Linked DNA regions of Caenorhabditis elegans. The protein of the gene in region 3 interacts with the protein of the main gene of each other region in a pairwise test. Each region holds a gene or a part of one and is shown on either strand. Other genes may lie near its edges. The genes, in order: bath-41, ZC239.15, cul-3 and C17F4.8.

The links.
Region 1: the proteins of cul-3 (region 3) and bath-41 interact in a two-hybrid assay, tested with the Caenorhabditis elegans proteins (one large-scale study listed by BioGRID).
Region 2: the proteins of cul-3 (region 3) and ZC239.15 interact in a two-hybrid assay, tested with the Caenorhabditis elegans proteins (one large-scale study listed by BioGRID).
Region 4: the proteins of cul-3 (region 3) and C17F4.8 interact in a two-hybrid assay, tested with the Caenorhabditis elegans proteins (one large-scale study listed by BioGRID).

Annotation. Positions count from the first base shown.
Region 1 is NC_003281.10:6,719,875-6,724,142, reverse strand, and holds bath-41 (BTB and MATH domain-containing protein 41), read left to right. Parts: upstream 1-1,884; 5' UTR 1,885-1,885; coding exon 1,886-1,941; intron 1,942-1,986; coding exon 1,987-2,142; intron 2,143-2,190; coding exon 2,191-2,291; intron 2,292-2,357; coding exon 2,358-2,509; intron 2,510-2,558; coding exon 2,559-2,751; intron 2,752-2,800; coding exon 2,801-3,095; intron 3,096-3,141; coding exon 3,142-3,313; intron 3,314-3,362; coding exon 3,363-3,494; 3' UTR 3,495-3,704; downstream 3,705-4,268. Other genes in the region: F37A4.1 (alpha/beta hydrolase), read right to left, coding at 56-319, 364-575, 622-739; F37A4.2 (PRKRIP1 family protein), read right to left, coding at 919-1,267, 1,316-1,440, 1,492-1,587; bus-22 (uncharacterized protein), read right to left, coding at 3,705-3,915, 3,958-4,124. UniProt on the Caenorhabditis elegans protein: Probable substrate-specific adapter of an E3 ubiquitin-protein ligase complex which mediates the ubiquitination and subsequent proteasomal degradation of target proteins.
Region 2 is NC_003280.10:3,222,809-3,226,553, reverse strand, and holds ZC239.15 (BTB domain-containing protein), read left to right. Parts: upstream 1-1,822; 5' UTR 1,823-1,910; coding exon 1,911-2,021; intron 2,022-2,066; coding exon 2,067-2,336; intron 2,337-2,649; coding exon 2,650-2,761; intron 2,762-2,803; coding exon 2,804-3,009; 3' UTR 3,010-3,221; downstream 3,222-3,745. Other genes in the region: ZC239.17 (Potassium channel tetramerization-type BTB domain-containing protein), read left to right, coding at 674-1,072; ZC239.16 (BTB domain-containing protein), read left to right, coding at 1,269-1,379, 1,428-1,784; ZC239.13 (BTB domain-containing protein), read left to right, coding at 3,740-3,745.
Region 3 is NC_003283.11:175,697-183,591, forward strand, and holds the start of cul-3 (Cullin-3), read left to right. Parts: upstream 1-1,882; 5' UTR 1,883-1,947; coding exon 1,948-2,004; intron 2,005-2,773; coding exon 2,774-3,690; intron 3,691-4,495; coding exon 4,496-5,132; intron 5,133-5,786; coding exon 5,787-6,165; intron 6,166-7,895. UniProt on the Caenorhabditis elegans protein: Probable core component of multiple cullin-RING-based BCB (BTB-CUL3-BTB) E3 ubiquitin-protein ligase complexes which mediate the ubiquitination and subsequent proteasomal degradation of target proteins.
Region 4 is NC_003280.10:3,230,294-3,236,558, reverse strand, and holds C17F4.8 (BTB domain-containing protein), read left to right. Parts: upstream 1-1,733; 5' UTR 1,734-1,745; coding exon 1,746-1,865; intron 1,866-5,089; coding exon 5,090-5,341; intron 5,342-5,385; coding exon 5,386-5,497; intron 5,498-5,542; coding exon 5,543-5,682; 3' UTR 5,683-5,742; downstream 5,743-6,265. Other genes in the region: srz-67 (Serpentine Receptor, class Z), read left to right, coding at 1-70, 132-293, 349-603; srh-297 (Serpentine Receptor, class H), read left to right, coding at 6,037-6,265.

The DNA.
Region 1 (4,268 bases), on a different chromosome or scaffold from region 3:
CCGTGTCAGAATTTTTTATTGAACTTAAATTGTTTTTGTTTTTAAAGTCGTTCACCTTATTTTGAACCAGAAGCTTTCGTGCAGCATTCAAATTTGGTCTCATCATGTATTTCAAAAGTGCCATTGATCCGGGATAAATCAAATGTCTTCCAAATGCGTGAATCGCCCAACTCGCCAGACCGCGAGTAACAACGCCGGCTTCAGCGACTTCTGGTTTTAAATGCCATAAATCCGAATTGGGGCGAGCTACAAAATCGGGAATCACGTCTAGAAGTTCAAAGTCGTACTTCTTTAGTGCTGCATGACTGTTGTCATCCTTCTGAAACGTAATTAATACATAAACATAAAGATTTCAACTGATACCTTGTTTTTTTCGTTTTCCCAAATATCTAAAAATCTCGAGTTTGTTTCGTCAAAGAGCCGACCGAATGTTCTTGCTCCATAACCGATTAGTGTTAAATATCCGGCATATTTCAGAATTGTCAGCATTCCAGCTGGTGTGAGCCAGTCTCGACTGTACAAGTAACATAATATTACGGGGCCAAAAGCTAATGAACTGGCAATGTAGTAAATTCCTAAAAACAAGTTTGGAAAAGGTTATGCTTCATAAAATAATATAACCTGCAGAAAACGATATGACGGTGTTTCCGAGATTTTCCAGTGTTGGTTCCTGTCGATTGGGTTGTCCAAAAATTCCATAAAGCCGTGGTCCCGAAATTTGCGTCCAGAAGGACGGCATTTCGACTAGTTGCTACTGAAATATGTAAATAGGGAAAACACAATTAACAAAAGACAATATAAAATGTAATGGACATATATACCATTTTTCAGAATTTTGATACAAAAAAAAACATCAATTGAGAAAAACAATTATATTAAATCAAACATGTACAAATAAGTTATTCCGTAATAAAAACTTCAAGTAGAAACTTCAGTTTTTTCATCATCCGTTTCTTCCTTCTCAACTTTATCTTTGTCTTCGACTTCTGTGTTTTGTTTTCCTTCAGATTCGTTATCAGATCCTGATCCTGAGTCTGAATCCGAATCATCTGATGAGCTCTCGTCAGATTCATTATTCTTTTTTGTCAATTTTCTCTTCTTAGCAGCAGCTTTTTGCCTTAATCGCTTTGCTCTCTTCTTCGCGGTTTTTGATTCTTCTTCCTTTTCAAGTTTTTCTACTTTGTGACGGTAGGCATCGTCCAATTCTTCTTTTTTTGCTACCGCATCAATGTAGTCAAGTCGATTTTGTTCTTTTCGTCGGTTGTTTCTGAAATTTGGATATGAAAAGACAAATTAAAAGTATAACTTTTCTAACCTGTAAATATGAAATTCAGCACTTCCGGCAGCAGCTGAAGAACCAACGACATTTCTCACGAATTCCAAAGGTTCTTTTGGCGCTCTCAGTGTCTCCTTTTTAATTGGAATTGGAGCGGGCTTGTCCTGCAATTATAACAAATAAAATTATTATATTTTTAGCTAAATTAAACTTACAATATTTTGTTGCAATCTTGCCAGTCTCATCCGAATTAAATCGGTTGCGGAATTTGCTCGGCGCTCTTCTTCTGTGATTGGATCATCTCGTGGCATAATGAGATTTTCTAGAAATTATCAAAAAAGAAATTAGTGCAAAAAAACCGGGAAATTTTATGTTTTATCCGCGAAAAATCGAAAAGATTGGCACGCTAAACTACACGCGCTGCGTCATCTCGGAGCGTCGTACTGCAGTTTCAAAATCCAATTTTTTTGTTTTGGCTTTCTTAGAAGCTACTTCTAGATAGGAAGTTGCTTATTATCAGTTAAAATATAAAGTTTATCAAATAATTATATTTACTTTTCATTATTCTATAGTTTCAAAGTCAACTTCAATTCATCATCAGCTTACAGAATGGAAATCAATAACGGGGCTCAACCAGAAAATGCGGCTGTTTCGATTCCGTCACGGTAAGTTCTGACGACCTCTTTTTCTCCAAAATTTTTAATTTTCAGCTCACCGTCTGGGAAGTCCGAAAAACGAAAAAGTCCAAGCATTGTTTCCGGCTGCCGTACGGTTATGAATGAGAGAAGCTTTACCAATTATTGGTCCGTTGAGCGCTTCACGGTACAATTAGAGCTTCACAATCCAGCAGAATTCATGCTGGCACCGTAAGCAAATATAATATGTTTAAGATTAATCAGTTTTACATTTTTCAGTAAATTTGGAGATGGGGATTATGAGTTTGTCATGAAACTATTTCCGAATGGGAAAGACGAAGAAACCGCCGGATATCTTTCACTTTTTCTGCTCATAAATAGTACGTAGAGAACTTTAAGTGTTTCATTTTTCGTTATTAAATGTTATTTACGAAGATTCTTTCCAGAATGCCCTAATCCTCGTCTCCGTTTCCGTGTCAGCTTTACAGTCGAAACAGCAGACGGTCCAAGAAGTTGCCATCTCAATAAGAATCTTGTTACGATCAATCGTAGTGGTATCGTGACTGCAAGCAAGTTCTTTTCATTAGACATTCTCAGGGTAAGTCGGATTGTTTTTTTTTCAACTTCAATTTTTTATTTTAATGCAGAGTGCCATGAATGTCTACATTCCTAACGATATTCTGACAATTGGATGTGAGCTCACAATTTTCGGTGAATGTACGACACAGATCTCAAGCCTGTTCAAGCCATATCAAAGAACTCACAGCGCTTCTTCAACATCTCGATCCCTATCGTCTCCCAATACAAAATGTTTGAAGATCGACGAATCGTCTGCGCATGGTTAGTGATTTTAACAGCTTGGAAATTTTCATTGTTTAATCACTTTCAGATGCATTCACAGAGTTTCTATCCACCGGAGAATTTAGCGACTTCATTATAGTCGCTTCGTGTGGTCGTGAATTCCCAACTCATATGTGCATCCTGGCAGCACGTTCTGAATACTTCAAAGTTCTCCTGAGAAATCATTCAACCAAGGAGTTTATGTCCAAGCGTCTCCAGTTTGATGACATTTCTGCTCGCACTCTTGACGTCTTGCTTCGCCATATGTACGCGTCCGCTGCTGGTCGAGTTGTGAAGCTCGAAGAGGATCAACTAACCGAGGACCTTATATCTGCAATGGATAGGTTGGATATTTTTACATTAAAACATTCTAGTATTGTTTTTTATCAGACTAATGATAAATTCATTGCGTGATGAAGTGGCTCGGCTCATCGGTTCAAAAGTGACTGTCGATAATGTGCTCACTCGTATTAGTATGGCTGCAGAGCTAAGACTTGATGATACCTATGACGTGCTTCTGGATTTCTTCTCGAATCATAAACATGAGTGCATGAAGTTAACTGTAAGTTAATGAGAGAATGAAATTACGTCGAACAAGCAACCAATTTCAGGCATGGGACGAACTTGAATCTGCAAAACCACCATTGGCCATCAAAATACTTCGAGATGCTTTCTCAAATACTGATTCACCTTCGACCACATCAATGGACAGCCGAATCATTGACCGCATCACTCTAACTTAATTGAATCTTTGTAAATCTCATGTCAAATTGATTATGTGTTTGCTCTTCAATCATATCTATTCATCCTTCTGTTTGCTGGTATTTTACCTTTTTCATCAGTTGATCTCAAATTTTTGAAACAAAACGCTTGAATTCAAGAATTCAATTTCGGGTGTAATTTTTATTTGGTTTTATTGATTTGATTTGTTTTATAAACACAACAATTTGATTCTAAAATAAAATTTTTGAAGCCGCTTTCTTTTTGTATCCTCCTTGGACTTTCTCCACAAATATTGGTAGTAGCTTCAGATCTTCCAACGATAAATTAGTAAAGGATAACAACGAACTCGAATGCCTATGAATGTAGTCTTTATCATCATGATAATCATTTGGCATTGTTTTCATTTCATCAACTTGAAAGTGCCTTTTTATGGCAAATATCCTAAATAAGATAAATCAATTTTTATTTGAAATTCAAGTCAACCTGCTCTTTTTGGATCTGTCCACTGAAATAGTAATGGGTGGAATTGACATACACGTTGTCAGCCATTCCTCCACATTTTCAGCATTTTCAGAACAATTTTCTTCTTCAAGATCATAGAATGTGTTTAGCGCAGAACGAGAGAATATCAGCACTGGTTTGTGTTGAATCTGAAACTTTGTGTTATATTGAATTACTGATATTATGTGGACGCAAAAAATCTGTGGAGCGCGCTTCTACATACGTACATTTGAAAACGATCCGCCTCCCAGTCATGGGTCTCGTTAGGTATTTGGGCACAAAAACCATTTATT
Region 2 (3,745 bases), on a different chromosome or scaffold from region 3:
AACTTTCCCACACTGTATGATTATAAAAACAAAAAAAAATGAAGTTATAACCCCAATTTTAAACTGTAGTGTTTTGAAAATTTTTGGCAATTGGAATCTTCGGAAACTGCTGGTTTCAAAAAATATGGGAAATTTTTCAATTTTTTGTGAAGCTGCCAAAAACTTCAATTGCCGAAAAATTTCGACTGAGGTATTGCATTTTTTATTGGAAATTTTGAAATTTCAGTTGTAACTGCAAAATTACACGTATCTTACATGAAAAATGAGAAAAAATATATTAGAATTCTTGCTGAAAACGAGAAAAAATGTCAAAAATATGTGTCATCCGTTTTTTCTTATAAAAATTCCTTCAGAAATTTTGCACAATTTGCAAAAGCGGAAATCGGAAAGTTTTCTATACATGTCTTGAAAAAAACTCCACCGCCACTATTTCCTAAAATTTGTTAAAAATATAAAAATGGCTGTTAATTGCAAATCGATAGACTTACTGATAACAAAACTTCATCTCACTTTCTTCATTTCTCTTCCCCACAATTTTTTTAAAAACTCTCCAAAAAATGTGCGAAATTATTAAACTAGACGTTGGTGGAACTATATTCAAAACTTCAAAAGATACATTAACGAAACTCGATAGCTTTTTTAAAACTATGTTTGAAAGTGATATTGCGGTATAATGTTGCTGACTATATTTCTCCAAAAACCTGAACATTTTCAGCCGAAACTCGAAAAATCCGGATGCATTTTTATTGATCGTTCCCCGAAACACTTCGAGTTAATTCTGAACTTAATGAGAGATGGGAATCTGTGGTTGCCCGAAACTGAGAAGGAATTGAGAGAGTTGTGTGCGGAAGCAAATTACTATCAGATGTTTGGACTGTACAATAAGTGCGGTGTGAAACTTAGCACTATAATAAACTTCCGAATGATTCAAAATCAAAAACCAATAACTAAAAATAATAGTTATACTCGTTTTTTTGTTTTTTCATTAATTTTTTTGGTATTTGTGTATTACATCCCTGCACTAAAAAGCTATTTTATTGTTGAAAAATCTAGTAAATGCTACCTATTTTAGTGGCTATTAAACGCAATTTTCATTGTATTATGCTATCATAGAAATGTGAACAGACCCGAACGTAAACCTATTATAGTATGGAAAAAAATCAATTGAAAACACTGATAACTTCAAATCGATCGACTCACTGATAACAAACCTTCATTTCACTTTCCTCTTTTTCTCCTCTACAATTTTTTTCAAAAACTCTCCAAAAATGAGTGAAATTATTAAACTAGACGTTGGCGGAACTATATTCAAAACTTCAAAAGATACATTAACAAAGTTCCATAGCTTTTTCAAAACTATGTTGGAATGCAAAACTGGGGTATGAAAATCGTTGTTTTTTTCCAAAAAAAAACGTGAAAATTTCCAGCCGAAAATTGAAAAAACCGGATGCATTTTCATAGATCGGTCCCCGAAACACTTTGAATTGATTCTGAATTTAATGAGAGATGGTGATCTGCCACTGCCAGAAGATGAAAGAGAGCTGAGAGAATTGATGGCAGAAGCTCAATTCTACTGGTTGGATGGTCTAGTCTTAATGTGCTGTGATAAACTTAATTCTACAAAAAAGGTCCAAATTGATCAAAGAGCAAACACTAAAAAATATGATTTATCATGGTTTTTTGTTTTTTCAATAATTTTTTTGGTTTTAGTGTTTGTGTATTACATGCCTGCACTAAAAGGCTATTTTATTGTTGAAAAAAGAAATAAATGTTATCTTTTTTAGTTGTTGGAAATTTTAATTTTTGTTAAAAAAAATCATTTTGAAATATGTACTGATCGATAATCTTATAACTGATAACAAAATTTTACTCCATCTTTCTCTTTTTCTCCCCTAGAAAACTCTTCGAAAATGAGTGAAACTGTGAAATTGGACGTTGGTGGAACTATATTCAAAACTTCAAGATCTACATTAACAAAGTTCAATGGATTTTTCAAAACTATGTTGGAGAGTGACATTGGGGTCCGATTTTTCCAAAAATTTCCCGATAAATTTTCAAATTTTCAGCTAAAAATTGACGAATCTGGGAGTATTTTTATTGATCGGTCTCCGAAAAATTTCGACTTGATACTGAACTTTATGCGAGACGGCGACGTGGTTCTACCCAATTGTGAATTGAAACTGAAGGAGCTGCTAGTAGAAGCTCAATTCTATTTGCTCGACGGACTCATTGAGTTGTGCAATTCAAAGATTGAGCTTGTTGAAGCTCCAAAGATAAAACTTCGATTTATTGAAAGCGATGAACAATTTCTTCAAATTCTTGCTGTTCAACAGAAGGTGAGTTTCGATAAAATAATGTAGTTTTTCAAATTCATAGGAATATCTCAGTCGGTAGTGGTAGCTGCTAGAAAGCTAGAGGTTGCGGTTTCAAGTTTAGACTCATCCCCTAGGTTCACCCAGTCTGTATTGGAGAGTGGAGCAATCCATGACTGTATTATCGGCCACAGTCCCTGGCTAGGACGTGGCTTAAACTATAGGCCAGTGCAAGCTGTAGTCCTAATAGTAAGGCCACACTGTATGGCGTTTGTCAATCATAAAATAATTAACCAGTTTCTTCAAAAAATTTCAGCTCTACATATAATTTTTACAGCCAATGCTCATAATTGAATTTTGCATGGTTGGGAATGATATGTCGATTCCCTATAACTTTAATCTTTACGAGTTCATGGAAAAGTATTCACATCAGTTCGATATTTATTTTCGTAAGTTTTTTGTACATTATCCTCATAAAATAGTCAATTCAGAGCGATTGAGTGAAGACGAACCTTCTCGCAAATGGAAAGCAAGGATAAAATGGAAACCTACTGAGAATGGATATTACAGTCAATTTCCACACAATCTTCGAATTAATCGAGGTGGACGGATAATACGGGATGCAACATTTTTGGAACGATTGGAAAAAATGATCGGGGAGTTTGATGAGTATTTGAAGAAGCAGAGGAATAGATAATTAACTTATTTTATGGATTTTTCGACAATATTTCTAATTTAGAAGCTTAAAAAATTATAATTTAGTAAGCTTGTTTTTTTATCTTTAAACACAAAACACATGGATAAGTTCAAAGTCTGATTGATAACAAACATTCTTATTTTTATTTTTTGAGTTTGGTTGCATCTGTGCCTCAAACCGTAACTATTTTAAAATATGAACAAGGTTGTTAAACTAGACATCGGCGGAACTATTTTTAAAACTTCAAGACCGACATTAATAAAATGTGATGGATTATTCAAAACTATGTTTGAATGTGAAAGGGTCTGATTACCGTAATCGATTAAGAGCGATTGAGTGAAGACGAACCTTCTCGAAAATGGAAAGCTAGGATAAAGTGGAAATCTACCGAGAATGGATATTATAGTCAATTTCCGCACAATCTTCGAATTAATCGAGGCGGACGGATAATTCGGGATGCAACTTTTTTGGAAAAATTAGAAAAAATGATTGGGGAGTTTGGTCAATATTTGTATTTGGAGAAGCAGAGAAAGAGATAATTAACTCATTTTGTGGATTTTTTGACAATATTTTCAATTCAGAAGTTTTTTTTTATTTCTTAACATTTTTGATTTTTTTGTAAAAAAAAAAACAAAATTTCGCAACACTGATAATTCAAAATCGATCGGCTCACTGATAACACAATTTCACTCCGTTTTTCTCTCTTTTTCCTCTCAAAAACTTTTCAAAAATGAGT
Region 3 (7,895 bases):
CAGGAGACTAAAATTCGAAGAATGCGTATTACGAAACGTATACGCGCAAAATATCTCATAGCGAAAACTACAGTAATTTTTTAAATTACTACTGTAGCGCTTGTGTCGATTTATGGGCTCGATTAAAATTGAGCAAAAAATTTAGAAAATACTATGCAGGCGCGGAGGAAAATAAAATATCGATATCACTATTCGGAAACAAATTCATTTCAAAAATCGAGCACGTAAATCGACACAAGCGCTACAGTAGCAATTTTTAAAAAAATTACTGTAGTTTTCGCTACGAGATATTTTGCGCGTCAAATTTGCTGCGCAATACGCATTCTCAGAATTTTGCGTTACCGTAATATACACGGTGAAGAACACGAGCCACCAGGAGTACGGTAGCCCTGACTTTAATTGCAAAAAAAGAGAAAACAGTGAAAAAAATCTGTATATAATTGCTATTATTTTTAAATTTCGCAAAAAAAATTAGAAATGACCACATTAATTTTGAATTCCTGCGCGAATGAATTCTATTTTTTGCGTATTCCTGCAATATTTATTGGATTTTCTCTTAGCCTAAAGCCTAAAACGCAGAAATTTCGAAATAATAAATTGACCATTTTTGAATTATTGGTGCAAAATTGAGAAAAATTGTGAAAAATTATACCATTTTTTGAACAATTACGCTCAGCTTACTAATTGTAAGATTACTCAGATTTATGGCAAAACACGATTTTTACGCCTTCAAAAAATCCTAGCTTTTGGCAAAACTTACAGGAAATTAAAAAATTCAGAATAAAAAGTAATAAGATCCAGGAAGCCATGACTCGAATCATTGTAGTTGAACTGTATGAATGATTTGATCCCAGCTTCTTCCGCCACCCTAAACACCCCATAATTTCCGTTTTCCGCTTGAATAGGAAATGTTGTATATTTCTGTACTCCTTCCTGAAGTATTAAAACTCGTTTTCGTTTATTAAACTGTTTCTTTTTTCAGATCACTCAACTTCCTCTTCTCAACGTCAACTTCGACTCGGCTAATTATAATTTTATTTATTTTTCTGATTTTTTTAAAATTCTTGTTTTTTCTCAAATTTCCAATTTCAACATCATCTTATTTTCAAATAAAAATATTTATTTTGCGACTTTCTATTAATTTGAAACAGCGAATATTGTTAATTTATTAAGTAAATTTAATCATTTTAGATCGTTTTCAACCGATTTTCGAGGGCTTTCCACAAATTTTGTACTTTTAAATAAATTTAAAGTTTATTCTACCGAAAACACTATTTATTTTTCCACGTGGACACCGCCAATTTTCTCTGAAAATTCTAAAATTCTGGTTGAAAATTAATTTTTAAAGCTTCCTCACGAGAAAAGCGCCAACGCACGAGGAGCGCGCCAGCAAACCCGCATTGACGCAGTCTCGGTGCACTTCTGAACTCCAAAACACACTGTTCCCGTTCGATTTTTCTCGCATTTTTCATAGTTTTTTTCGAAATTGAAGCTTTTAAAGGTGTTTTAGACTTGATTCGAAGTGAAATATTGATTGATTGAGCCGGAAAATAGGCAAAAAGTTCTGGAAAAACGCGCGAAATTAAAATTCCAGTGACTTTCGAGATAATGATATTGATTTTTCCGAGTAATTAAGTTGATATCCAGCTATTTATTTTTGCGTGACATTCTAATTACCGGATTTTCAAAGTTTTTTCGAAAAAAAAACAAAGCAAAATCGATTTATTTCGAATTACTCGCGACTTCTCAACTTTGAAGCTGAAAATAGTTAGTTTTGTTTTTTCTGTTATCAGTGCGCGCTTTTTCTGCAATAATAACATTCCGCAGTACGATTTTTTCAAATTTTTTGCTTTTCGAGAACGGAAAATCAAGTTTATTTCAGTGTGCACGAAAAACGAGCGAGATTCTGACTTGACCAGTTCGTTCGGAATCGACTCATTTTTGGAGATGAGCGGACGCTCCGGTAATGGTGGACAACAAAAAATGAGAATTCGCCCATTTATGGTAGGTTTACACACACAGATTTTAGTCCTCTATCAAGCCTGTCTCCTTGTTTTGCGTGAAAAATCGATTTTTTTAAAACGAAACTTGGAATGTTACGGCCGAATTATCCGCGATATCCGAACAATCCGTCAATTTCTGATGAGAAACTGATATTTTTCCACTGGCAACTGTATGCCACGTGGCAATCATTTTCAGTTTGCGTGCCACGTGCCAAAACTCGTCATTTCTAAAGAACAAAAGCAAAATATTTTTTTTTCATATAACAAAATCGATTCTGAGGGATTTCTAATGGTCAATAATTGTTTTTGACCGTTTAACCAGGAAAAAACGAAGAGAAAAACTGTAAAATCGTATTTCCGCCGTTTTTTATCGATTTTCTATTTTTTTTCCTATTTGCTTGGACTAGCCATTAGAAACATGAAATTTGTTATAAACGGCAATGTTCTCGCAAAAATGACCTCACATAAGAGTTTTTCGCGTTTTTTTCACGAAAAAAAAACGCATTTTTGATCGAAATTTACCGAATTTCATCCCAAAAAAGTTCCAAAATTTTTGCCAAATTTTGCTAAAATCTGATATTTCGTAAACTTTTCTAGCTGGAAAATCCCTGAGTTTAGCAAATTTTGGCGCTTTTCCGAAAATTTTGAATTCTTATAATGAAATTTTGGAAATTTTTTAATAGTCGGGCCAGTTTTTGGTCATTTAAGGAAAATGCCCAAAATTTAGAAAAGCCGCAAAAAAAAAACGGAGAAAAATGATTTTTTTTCAGGCCACAATAGACGAGCAATATGTGACACAGACATGGGAACTTTTGAAGCGTGCCATACAGGAAATCCAACGCAAAAACAATTCGGGCTTGAGTTTCGAGGAGCTCTACCGCAACGCATATACAATGGTGCTCCACAAGCACGGAGAACGTCTCTATAATGGCCTGAAAGACGTGATTCAGGATCATATGGCGTCGGTTCGAATTCGAATTATCGAATCAATGAATTCTGGAAGCTTCCTGGAGACTGTCGCCGAATCGTGGGCTGATCACACTGTCGCCATGGTCATGATTCGTGATATTCTGATGTATATGGATCGGATCTACGTGGCACAGAATAATCACGTCCTGCCGGTCTATAATCTGGGTCTCGACGCGTATCGGACGGAAATTCTGCGGCAAAACGGGATTGGCGACCGAATTCGCGATGCTCTTCTGGAGCTTATCAAATTGGATCGAAAATCGAATCAAATCAATTGGCACGGAATAAAAAACGCGTGTGATATGCTCATCTCGCTAGGAATCGATAGCCGGACGGTTTATGAGGACGAATTTGAGAGGCCACTTCTGAAGGAGACTAGTGATTACTATCGGGATGTGTGCAAGAATTGGCTTTCTGGCGACAATGACGCGTGCTTCTATCTGGCACAGGTGGAGATTGCGATGCACGACGAGGCGAGCCGAGCGTCGAGATATCTTGACAAAATGACAGAGGCCAAAATCCTGCAGGTGATGGATGATGTGATGGTTGCTGAGCATATTCAGACGATTGTCTACATGCAGAATGGTGGTGTGAAGTTTATGTTGGAGCACAAGAAGATTGAGGATTTGACTCGCATTTTCCGTATTTTCAAACGTATCGGAGATTCGGTGACAGTACCGGGTGGTGGATTGAAGGCGCTGCTTAAGGCGGTTAGCGAGTGAGTTTTTCGCGCGATTTTTTTTTAGAAATTGAATTATTTGGTGATTACAGCCGTGGGAGGAACGTTGTAAAATTAAAATTTGAACAATTTTCACCACAAAAAGGCACTAGCATGGTTATCTGTCGATTTACGAAGCCTGTGTACTCTTCGAGGGGAAATTTTGTTTTTTTACCCCAGAAATTACGGGTTTTTGCTTTAATGCGGAGATTTCAATGATTTTATTTTGTAAAAAATTGAAAATTTCACCCAAAATGGCTCCATGTGTCGGTTTAACCAGCTTTTGTGCTCCTCGAAAATTTATGTATTTGATGGTTAAATCTAGACTTTACTTTGGCACTTTTTTTGAAGAGGATTTTACAGTGTTTAGCTAAAATGCTTAATCGTTCAAATTATTTCTAATTTTAATGGTAAAACACCACCAATGCAAGCATTTCAGCCAGAAACCGTAAAAAATAATCCACGTGGAGTACACGAGTCGCGTAAATCTACACATGGCCGTGTTAGTAGAGGTTTCGCGGCCACGTTTTCGCTTCAAGAAATTTAAATTCCAGCCAATTTACTGTATTTTTATTTATCAAACTCTACTTTTCTGACCTAAACCCGTGTCACTCGCCCGCAGCAATCTGTTTATTTGTTCTGTTGTCCATTACGTCGAACACCGCCGCTTCTCCTTAAAACGCCTCAGCTGTTGGTGGTTTTAGTTTTTAGATAACACCAACCCTAACAGTTGAACACGGAGCATTCAGAAAACTAGAGCAGAATTGGGGGTTGCTCAGCAAGAAAAGTTAACTTTTTTTTCCAGATATCTCAACGAAACCGGCTCGAACATTGTGAAAAATGAGGATCTGCTCAAAAACCCCGTCAATTTTGTCAACGAATTGCTCCAGCTCAAAGACTACTTCTCCAGTCTGCTCACCACTGCGTTTGCCGACGATCGTGACTTTAAGAATCGCTTCCAGCATGATTTCGAGACGTTCCTCAACTCGAATCGCCAATCGCCGGAATTTGTGGCCCTCTACATGGACGATATGCTGCGAAGCGGTCTGAAATGTGTGTCGGACGCCGAAATGGACAATAAGCTCGACAATGTGATGATCTTGTTCCGCTATCTACAGGAGAAGGATGTATTCGAGAAGTATTTCAAGCAATACCTCGCCAAACGTCTCTTGCTCGACAAATCGTGCTCCGACGATGTGGAGAAGGCTCTGCTGGCAAAGCTGAAGACAGAGTGTGGTTGCCAGTTTACTCAGAAGCTTGAGAATATGTTCAGAGACAAGGAGCTTTGGCTGACACTGGCCACAAGCTTCAGAGACTGGCGAGAGGCTCAGCCGACCAAAATGAGCATTGACATATCGCTTAGAGTTTTGACGGCGGGCGTTTGGCCGACGGTTCAGTGTAATCCGGTTGTGTTGCCGCAAGAGTTGTCGGTTGCCTATGAGGTAATTCGAATTTTCAATTGGTTTTGCAATTTTTGAGCTTGATGTTTCACAAAACCCGCAAAAATGTCTGCTTACACGCAGGGTTGTCGTTTTTTGCCAAAAGATGGATTTTTTATACAGAAAAATGTGCATTTTAGAGACAATATATATTTTTTTCGGTTTTTCCAATCAAAAAACAACAAGTATGTTTTTTTTTCAAAATTTAATTTCCAGTCGCGATGAGATGAATTCAAAAAAAAAACGTTTCTTCTAGTTTTTCTGACCAAATACCTAGAAATCCATTTTTCTGCCAGAAAAGCCAAAAAAGATTCCGAATATCTATTATTTTTGCTTGAAATCGCTTTTCACACGCGCACCAGAGACATTCTCATTGGACCGCCACACTTGTGTCGATTTACGAGATTTCTCATGAAATTTTCAGGCCAATTTCAATTTTTCAATAAGTATGTTTCATTTTTGTGGAAAAACTGAAATCTCCGTAAATCGACACAACACGGTGCGCTCCAATGAGAATATCTCTGGCGCGAGTTTAAAAATATTATTGGGTGCGATTAAACGTGCTTTCAAGCTAAAATATAAAACCAGGGCAATTTTTAAAAAAATATTTTTTCACAAAGATTTTTGGAATTTCTTCAATTTCCCCTCGTTTTTCAGATGTTCACACAATACTACACTGAAAAGCACACTGGCCGTAAGCTGACAATCAACACACTTCTCGGAAACGCTGACGTCAAAGCCACATTCTATCCACCACCAAAAGCATCCATGTCAAACGAGGAAAATGGTCCTGGACCGTCGAGCAGTGGAGAGTCGATGAAAGAACGAAAACCGGAGCACAAGATTCTCCAGGTCAATACGCATCAGATGATCATTCTCCTTCAGTTCAACCATCACAATCGGATCTCATGTCAGCAGCTGATGGATGAGCTTAAGATTCCCGAGCGAGAGTTGAAGAGGAATTTGCAGTCGCTGGCTCTCGGAAAAGCGTCGCAGCGGATTTTGGTCAGAAAGAATAAGGGAAAAGATGCGATAGGTATGAAAAGGAAATTATAGTTTTTCGAATTTTTTTGAAAAAAATTGATAATTTGAAAAAAAAATCAATTTCCAATCGCTGCAGCCAACTTTCCCATGGGACATGGGAAAGTTGGCAAAGTTGGGTTTTTTTTGCTAACTAGGGAATGGTGTTACCCCTGCAATCGCTAGGAGGACAAACAAAGTGAAAATGGAAGATCAGATCTATGGCTACAAGAATCAGTTTTTGGAATCTGCTTAACTCGGTCCCAAAGCTGAAATTTTCGGTCTTAAAAAGTAGTCCTTTTTTTGCTCAAAATGCCGTTTTTCGTGTGTAGAAGTGGCTACATAAAAGTTTGGCACTGCAGCCGCCGTTCGAATGGCCGATTGGTGAACTCTTGTGCTCATTAATCTAAAGGTCACGGGTTCGTTCCCCACTAGGTATTAATTTTTTTTTGAATTTTTCCTCTAGCATGAAATATGCACAAAAACACGGTTTCTTCCGTTTTTTGGTAACTTCGGAATAAATTTTTTGGTTCCTGGGAATCATAAAAGTAATTTGGAAACTTTTTGGAAGTTTTCTTTTTTTGATAAATTTTCACTTTTCTCCCACCTGATGTATGCACATTTTTTTCTTCAAAAATAATTTTTCAAAATTTTTTCAAAAAGTGTTTGGTTTGAAAGAGCAGCATTAGTTTGGATATTTCTACGATTTTGGAGGATCAAATGTCATTTTTAGGAGAAAACCACTGTTGTTTTCTCTAGACTTTTTCACGAAAAGGACCTACTTTCAAAGACTTCCAGCTCCGTTGACGAGTAAAATAAAAAAGAGTTGTCAACTGCAAAGTTATTTCAAAAGTACCAATGAACAAATTGTCAGTTGAAGTTACTCTGCTAAATTTTATGGGTAGAGAGATATAGCTAATCGAAGTGAAGCTTTAACTTACTTAATTACTAATGTCCATATCTCTCTACCCATAAAATTTAGCAGAGTAACTTCAACTGACAATTTGTTTATTGGTACTTTTAAAATAACTTTGCAGTTGACAACTCTTTTTTATTTTACTCGTCAACGGAGCTGGAAGTCTTTGAAAGTAGGTCCTTTTCGTGAAAAAGTCTAGAGAAAACAACAGTGGTTTTCTCCTAAAAATGACATTTGATCCTCCAAAATCGTAGAAATATCCAAACTAATGCTGCTCTTTCAAACCAAACACTTTTTGAAAAAATTTTGAAAAATTATTTTTGAAGAAAAAAATGTGCATACATCAGGTGGGAGAAAAGTGAAAATTTATCAAAAAAAGAAAACTTCCAAAAAGTTTCCAAATTACTTTTATGATTCCCAGGAACCAAAAAATTTATTCCGAAGTTACCAAAAAACGGAAGAAACCGTGTTTTTGTGCATATTTCATGCTAGAGGAAAAATTCAAAAAAAAATTAATACCTAGTGGGGAACGAACCCGTGACCTTTAGATTAATGAGCACAAGAGTTCACCAATCGGCCATTCGAACGGCGGCTGCAGTGCCAAACTTTTATGTAGCCACTTCTACACACGAAAAACGGCATTTTGAGCAAAAAAAGGACTACTTTTTAAGACCGAAAATTTCAGCTTTGGGACCGAGTTAAGCAGATTCCAAAAACTGATTCTTGTAGCCATAGATCTGATCTTCCATTTTCACTTTGTTTTGTCCTCCTAGCGATTGCAGGGGTAACACCATTCCCTAGTAAAATTTGCCTTTTTCACGTTTTTGAAC
Region 4 (6,265 bases), on a different chromosome or scaffold from region 3:
CGTTTTACACGCCGTTACTTTTTTTGATGATTCACACCCATATTATTTGATTTGGAGTGTATTTTTCATTGTAAGACATATTAAGATTTCACTAAATCAGACGAATTAACTACTGATTTTGATTTTTTCAGACCATATTTTATACCATGCACATTCTATTGTTCCTGTCCGCACTTCTTTACATTCCAATACTTATAAGTATTCGAAAACTTTCTCATCTAGCGTCATCACAGCTTAATAACCCCCAGAGGTACATTTTCTGGCAGACGATGATACTGTTTGTGTTCAAGTCTGTGAGTTTGGCAATTAAATGAACAAAATTTTGCAAATGTCTTTTTATTTTTTCAGATGTCCTTTTCAATGGTTGTACTTCAAATGCAGGATATTGAGGACATATTTCTGAATGTGATTTCAGAATCTATACTTGAATCGGCAACGATCCCCTTATTAATAGTAATTTCGTATCTAGGATGTAACAAACGGAATGTGACAGTTTTGCTGTCTTCATTTAAGCTGAAACAATTTCTAAGAACCATTTTAGGTTTAAAAAATACTGTTGTTGAACCCCAGCAATATGTTGCAAGCATTCATTCTACAGTTTAAATATATTACATGAACAGTTTCTGCATTTTTCTCCAATCTTTTTATTTCGGTTTTGCTCCCGTTTGGGTGGATGAAAACTGTCGAGGGCCGACGCAGAGACAGTAACAGTCTAAGAACGCTGTCCGTTCTCCGTTACATCATACACACAACTGCAGTCTGCACCAGTGCTGTGCGGCTCTCGGCTCTCGGCGCGAGCCGAGAGCCGACATTTTGGGGTTTTTTCGGCTCTCGGCGGGAGCCGGGAGCCGAAAAAAATTGAACTCGGCTCTCGCAGAGAGCCGAGAGCCGAAAATTTTTTTTTTCGTTTTTCGACGCGCGCCGATTTTTTTAGTCGACTTTTTAGATTTTTGTTTGGGGGTGTTCAGTGTGCCAGCGAAAGTCAATTAGTCATTGAAACTTAAACAAAATGTTGTTTTTATCTATCAATGTTCTATTAATGAACAAGGAATTTGTCAAAACTGATGCAGCTGGGACTGAATCCGACGTTATAAACTTGACGGAGGAACCAACAATGAATTTATGGACAATTTTTATTATTGGTTACATTTGTTTAAGTAATTTATTTTCTGTTGAGATACATTGGTGCTATTGTTCAAAAAAATTTGAGTTAAAGTTAACTTGAAAGAGTCTTCGAAAACCGATACCGAAAAATAAAACAGTCGGTACTCGGCTCTCGGCGTGAGCCGAGAGCCGACATTTTTGGGCTTTTTCGGCTCTCGGCTCCCGCCGAGAGCCGAAAAAAAATTTAGACTCGGCTCTCGGTGCGAGCCGAAAGCCGACTTTTTTCAAGAGCCGCACAGCACTGGTCTGCACAGTCATTACTATCATATTTTGGAAACAGGACACTCACACAGTCAGTCTCTATGCCTGTGTCTCTTACTAAATAATGCTCTTTTTATTGATTAGCAGAGACTATATCGGGACCGGACCACCACTCTTTCTCTTTATCCAGCCACACAGGTTGATTCATTTTTTGCATGCCTTTTTTTTTAGAAAATTAATTGTTTCATAGTTTCTTATTAGCATTTTAATTGTCAACATTGTTTTTTTGCAAACTTTTAAACAATACAATTAAACATAAAAGTTATACATATGTATATGTTAATAAATTTTATTCAATACATTTCTTCAGGAAGTGGAAAATGTGCTCAAAAGATAACATCGTCAAGTTAAACGTTGGTGGTACTGTTTTTCAAACTTCCAAGTCTACTCTCACCATGATCGACGGATTCTTTAAGATGATGCTCGAGAGTGACATTCCGGTTAGTTTGTACAACTGAGTTCTCCGAGCAAGGCAAACGGACACTGAATCCTAAGCCTAAGCCTAACCTCATAAAAAGTTACAAGAAGGTTTTTCCTTGCGCTTGGAGCGCAAAAGAAAAGAAAAAGAGCTATTTAGACTTAGGAACAAACCCAATTTGAATAAAACATTGGAAATCCCAATCCAACAAGCCTAAGGGCCCCAAAAACATACTAGGATGCCCAACTTGAATAAAATATAGGAAATCCTTATGACACACTTAAGCCTAAGAGCCCGAAAAAAAAAATGGGATGGCCAACTGGAATAAAATATTGGAAATCCTTATGACACACTTAAGCCTAAGAGCCCGAAAAAAAAAATGGGATGGCCAACTGGAATAAAATATTGGAAATCCTTATGACACACCGGCGGTATGGCGCGGCTTAAGCCTAAATAGCCACTTTTATCAAAATACATTTGAGCCCGACTCGAGTTTTACAATAACTTCTCAGTTAACTCGAAAGCACTCTGTGTATATTTTTCAGTAATCTAAATAAAGACTATAGATTACTAAGAAACTTGGAAATTTTGTAATATTTGAAGGGATGCGAGCAATCTCTACATATTTGCGATCAACCTTTGGAGATTATTTTTCTTAGTAAAGTTATAGAATGCCAATATTCAAATTCCTCTCCCATGGAAAGAAAAGTTCAAATTCTGTACCTGCGTATATTTTTTTATAACTCCGTTCTTCCCACAAGAAAGGCCTTCTTCCCATGAGATAGGAATTCAAGTATCGGCAGCATTCATAGGTACAGAATTTGAACCTTTCTTCACATGAGATAGGAATTTTATATCGATCAAATTAACCCTCAAGTAAAGTGAGACCTTTGATGAATATAATCACTCTGATGATGTATTTAATTCCGATGATTAATCCATTTTTCTTTCTCTCACATTTATGAACTAAAAATGATTACTAAATAAAGGCGTGATAGTCTAAGGTGTGATAACATATGATATTTCTTTTTAAATTTGAATATAGTTTTTTTTTAATTTTTGCTAAAGAACGAATAGTTTACAACCGCCTCGCTCAAATGTATTTTGATAAAAGTGGCTATTTAGGCTTAAGCCGCGCCATACCGCCGGTGTGTCATAAGGATTTCCAATATTTTATTCCAGTTGGGCATCCCATTTTTTTTTTCGGGCTCTTAGGCTTAAGTGTGTCATAAGTATTTCCTATATTTTATTCAAGTTGGGCATCCTAGTATGTTTTTGGGGCCCTTAGGCTTGTTGGATTGGGATTTCCAATGTTTTATTCAAATTGGGTTTGTTCCTAAGTCTAAATAGCTCTTTTTCTTTTCTTTTGCGCTCCAAGCGCAAGGAAAAACCTTCTTGTAACTTTTTATGAGGGTTTCATATATTTTATTAAAATCGGGGCGAAGCCCTGATTTTAAATCCATGTTGTTTTTTTTTGTCTTCCACTATCCCTGCAAATAGGAAAGAGAATGTGTCTTTCTGATAAAGTAAAAATCATCATAAAATTTTGAAAACTGAGAGCAGGAGGTAATATCTGGATATATTGGGTCGTAAATGTGTGTCTCTCTGTGGGTGGGGTGGCGATGTGTTGGCAGCCAACCCTTCAACGAACTGTATCTCCCGCCTGTATCTCCCTTCAAAGTGAGAATTGGGTTACAAAAATTTGAGAGAATATGAAAAAAATTGTGAGGATTTCTAACATACTAATTTTGAAACACCAGACCAAACCACTTTTTCTGGGCAAGAGGCAGAAAATTCATTTTTGGAAAAAATTTCAAACTGGCACAAAAATTTTTGCAAATTGTTGATAGATTCCATTTTTTGTCAATATTGTTCATTGAACACAAAAAATAAAACAAAGATTCATCGCAAAATGAGTGAAAAATCGCAAAAATTCGAAAAAGTCAGTGCTGAAAAACTCGATTTTTTGGCGGTCCTGAAAAAAATTTTCACTAAAATTTTTTTAAAACTTAGTTTTTCGGATTAAGCGTCAAATTCTGGGTCTACTGAAAAAAACAGAATCAAAATTGATTTAAGATTGAGTGAGTAATAAACGCTCAAAGTTGAATAATTACAAATCAAAAACGGCAGTAACTTTGTTCTCGGTCGATTATCTCGGTGATGTATGACTCGATTAAAAAAATTTTTTTTTTGACTCGCTTTAAAAATTTCTCAGCTTTCATTATTTTTTTTTAAAACCAAAATATCTCAAACGACCGCAAAGTTATGAGAAGGAAAAGTTAAGGTTTTTGGAAAAAAAAATGAAAACTGTTTTTTCTGCCTCGATTTTCAAAATGAAAAAATCACTTTTTTGGAATTTTTTTTACTTTTCTATAGAGCAAAAATATTTTTCTGCCAGATTTTCACCTCAAAACCAAAGATTTCTCAAAGACAACAGCGCACGAAGCGGTGGTTTAAAAAAAACGCGAAAAAAACACACCGAAAAGGGAGGGGGGAGGTCGGAAATGCAAATTTTGACTTTGAAGCTCTCTAAAAGAGCTCACAGTTGATGGATCTGGAAGATTTGTATGTTTTTAAACGCACCTCGTCGAGTACTATAAACTGCTAAAAAATCTCGTGAAAATCTCAAAAACGAATTTTCCTGCAAAAAAAAAGAGGCAAAAAATGAGAAAAAAAAAGTGATTTTTGGAGGATACTCGAAAATACTCTTTATATCTCGGCTCAAAGAGCTCCAATCTTTCTGAAATAAAGCATACAGAGGTGGGGCAAGCTTCTTGAAGAGACAGCAAAAAACCGCATCATAATCCATCCACCCACCGTCAAGTTACACGCGCGTTTCCATTTACCACGAAAAACAGGGAATAAAAAAATTTAGACGCCCGCACCCGGGCTCGAACTTTTTTCAGATTTACAAGCTTAATATCTCGGCTCCTGTAAATCGAAATTGGCTCAAAATTCACAAGAAACCTTATTCTGCTTCCCTCCTGCTGTCATTAAATTTTCGTGAGCTTAGGGAGAAAACTGACAAAACGCCAAACTTTCAATTTTTAAAAAATAGTTGAGGGGCATTTCGAAAACACTTTAAGCTCCATAACTCGGCGAGTTTTGATGGAATCAATTTGAAATTTTACACGAAAGCTTCTTAGTGGCCAATACGCCGCTAACGCTCCCCCACTGACGCCAATTCTAAGCCTAGGCCTAAGCAAAAACCTTGAAAATAAAATAAACAATTATTACAAGTTTCAGCTCCAGAAAGACGATTCCAACTGCATCTTCATCGACCGCTCTCCGAAACATTTCGACATAATCCTGAACTTTCTGAGAGATGGCGACGTGGATCTTCCTGAGCAAGAAAAAGAGATCAACGAAGTCAAGAGAGAAGCTCAGTTCTACCTGTTGGAGGAGTTGGTCGATCTGTGTCATAGAAAAATCAATACAAAAATTCGTGTACTAATAAGTGGCACTGAAAAAATAGAGTTCTATACAAAAAACGACAAGGTATGCTTAAATCTCGAAATTCAAAATAAAATAATTATTTTCAGCCACGATTGTTGATAAAGTATCCTGAAAAGAATCTAGATGAATCGCCCATTTTGGACATCGACTGGGGGAGTTTAATGGAAAAGTATAGAGATCAATTTCACATTGCTTTCGGTAAGTTTTCAAAGTTGACAATAATAATTTAAGAAAAACATTCAGCACCACAAAACAACTGTTCCTTGAGCGCAAATTGTCAATTCAAGTCAGTCAAGTCAAGTATCTTTCTGAGTATTGGGGATGTATCAAATGATTGTGAGCAATTTATTGATAATTTTTTAAAGAAACATTGTGGATTCTAATTAATTTTTTTAAATCCTAATTGTGCCAATCAATAAATCAATAAAGTTATTATGTTTTTCTTGTCTGAAAATTTGGAAATATATTTGAAAAACTTTCAGGATTCAACTACCAGAAGTGTACCTGAAAAATTACATTTTTCTGTGCAAAATCTAATTTTTTTCAGGAAAAAAACATTTAAAAATTATTTATGATAAAGCTTCACATTTTACATACTGAGATTACGAGAGTATTTTATATATGAGCTTTACATATTGTTCTTTGAATAAACGGGTGATAAAACTCGTTATGAGTCTGACACATTTTCGAAAACAAGAAAAAGCCCATAGTTACTTCCTTCATTACTCTCCGTTCAAATGCTTTCCCTCAGTTATCCGGATGTATATTCCAAAATTCTATATGTATTAGCTGGATTTTCAGTTCCAATTCACATTTTCGGAGGTTATTGTATCCTATTAAAAACTCCTAAAATTATGAAATCCGTTAAGTGGGCTCTGTTCAACCTTCACTTCTGGTCTTCCTTCTTAGACATTTCCATTAGCCTGCTCGCCCAGCCTTTCCTATGTGCTCCGGTATTTGCTGGAT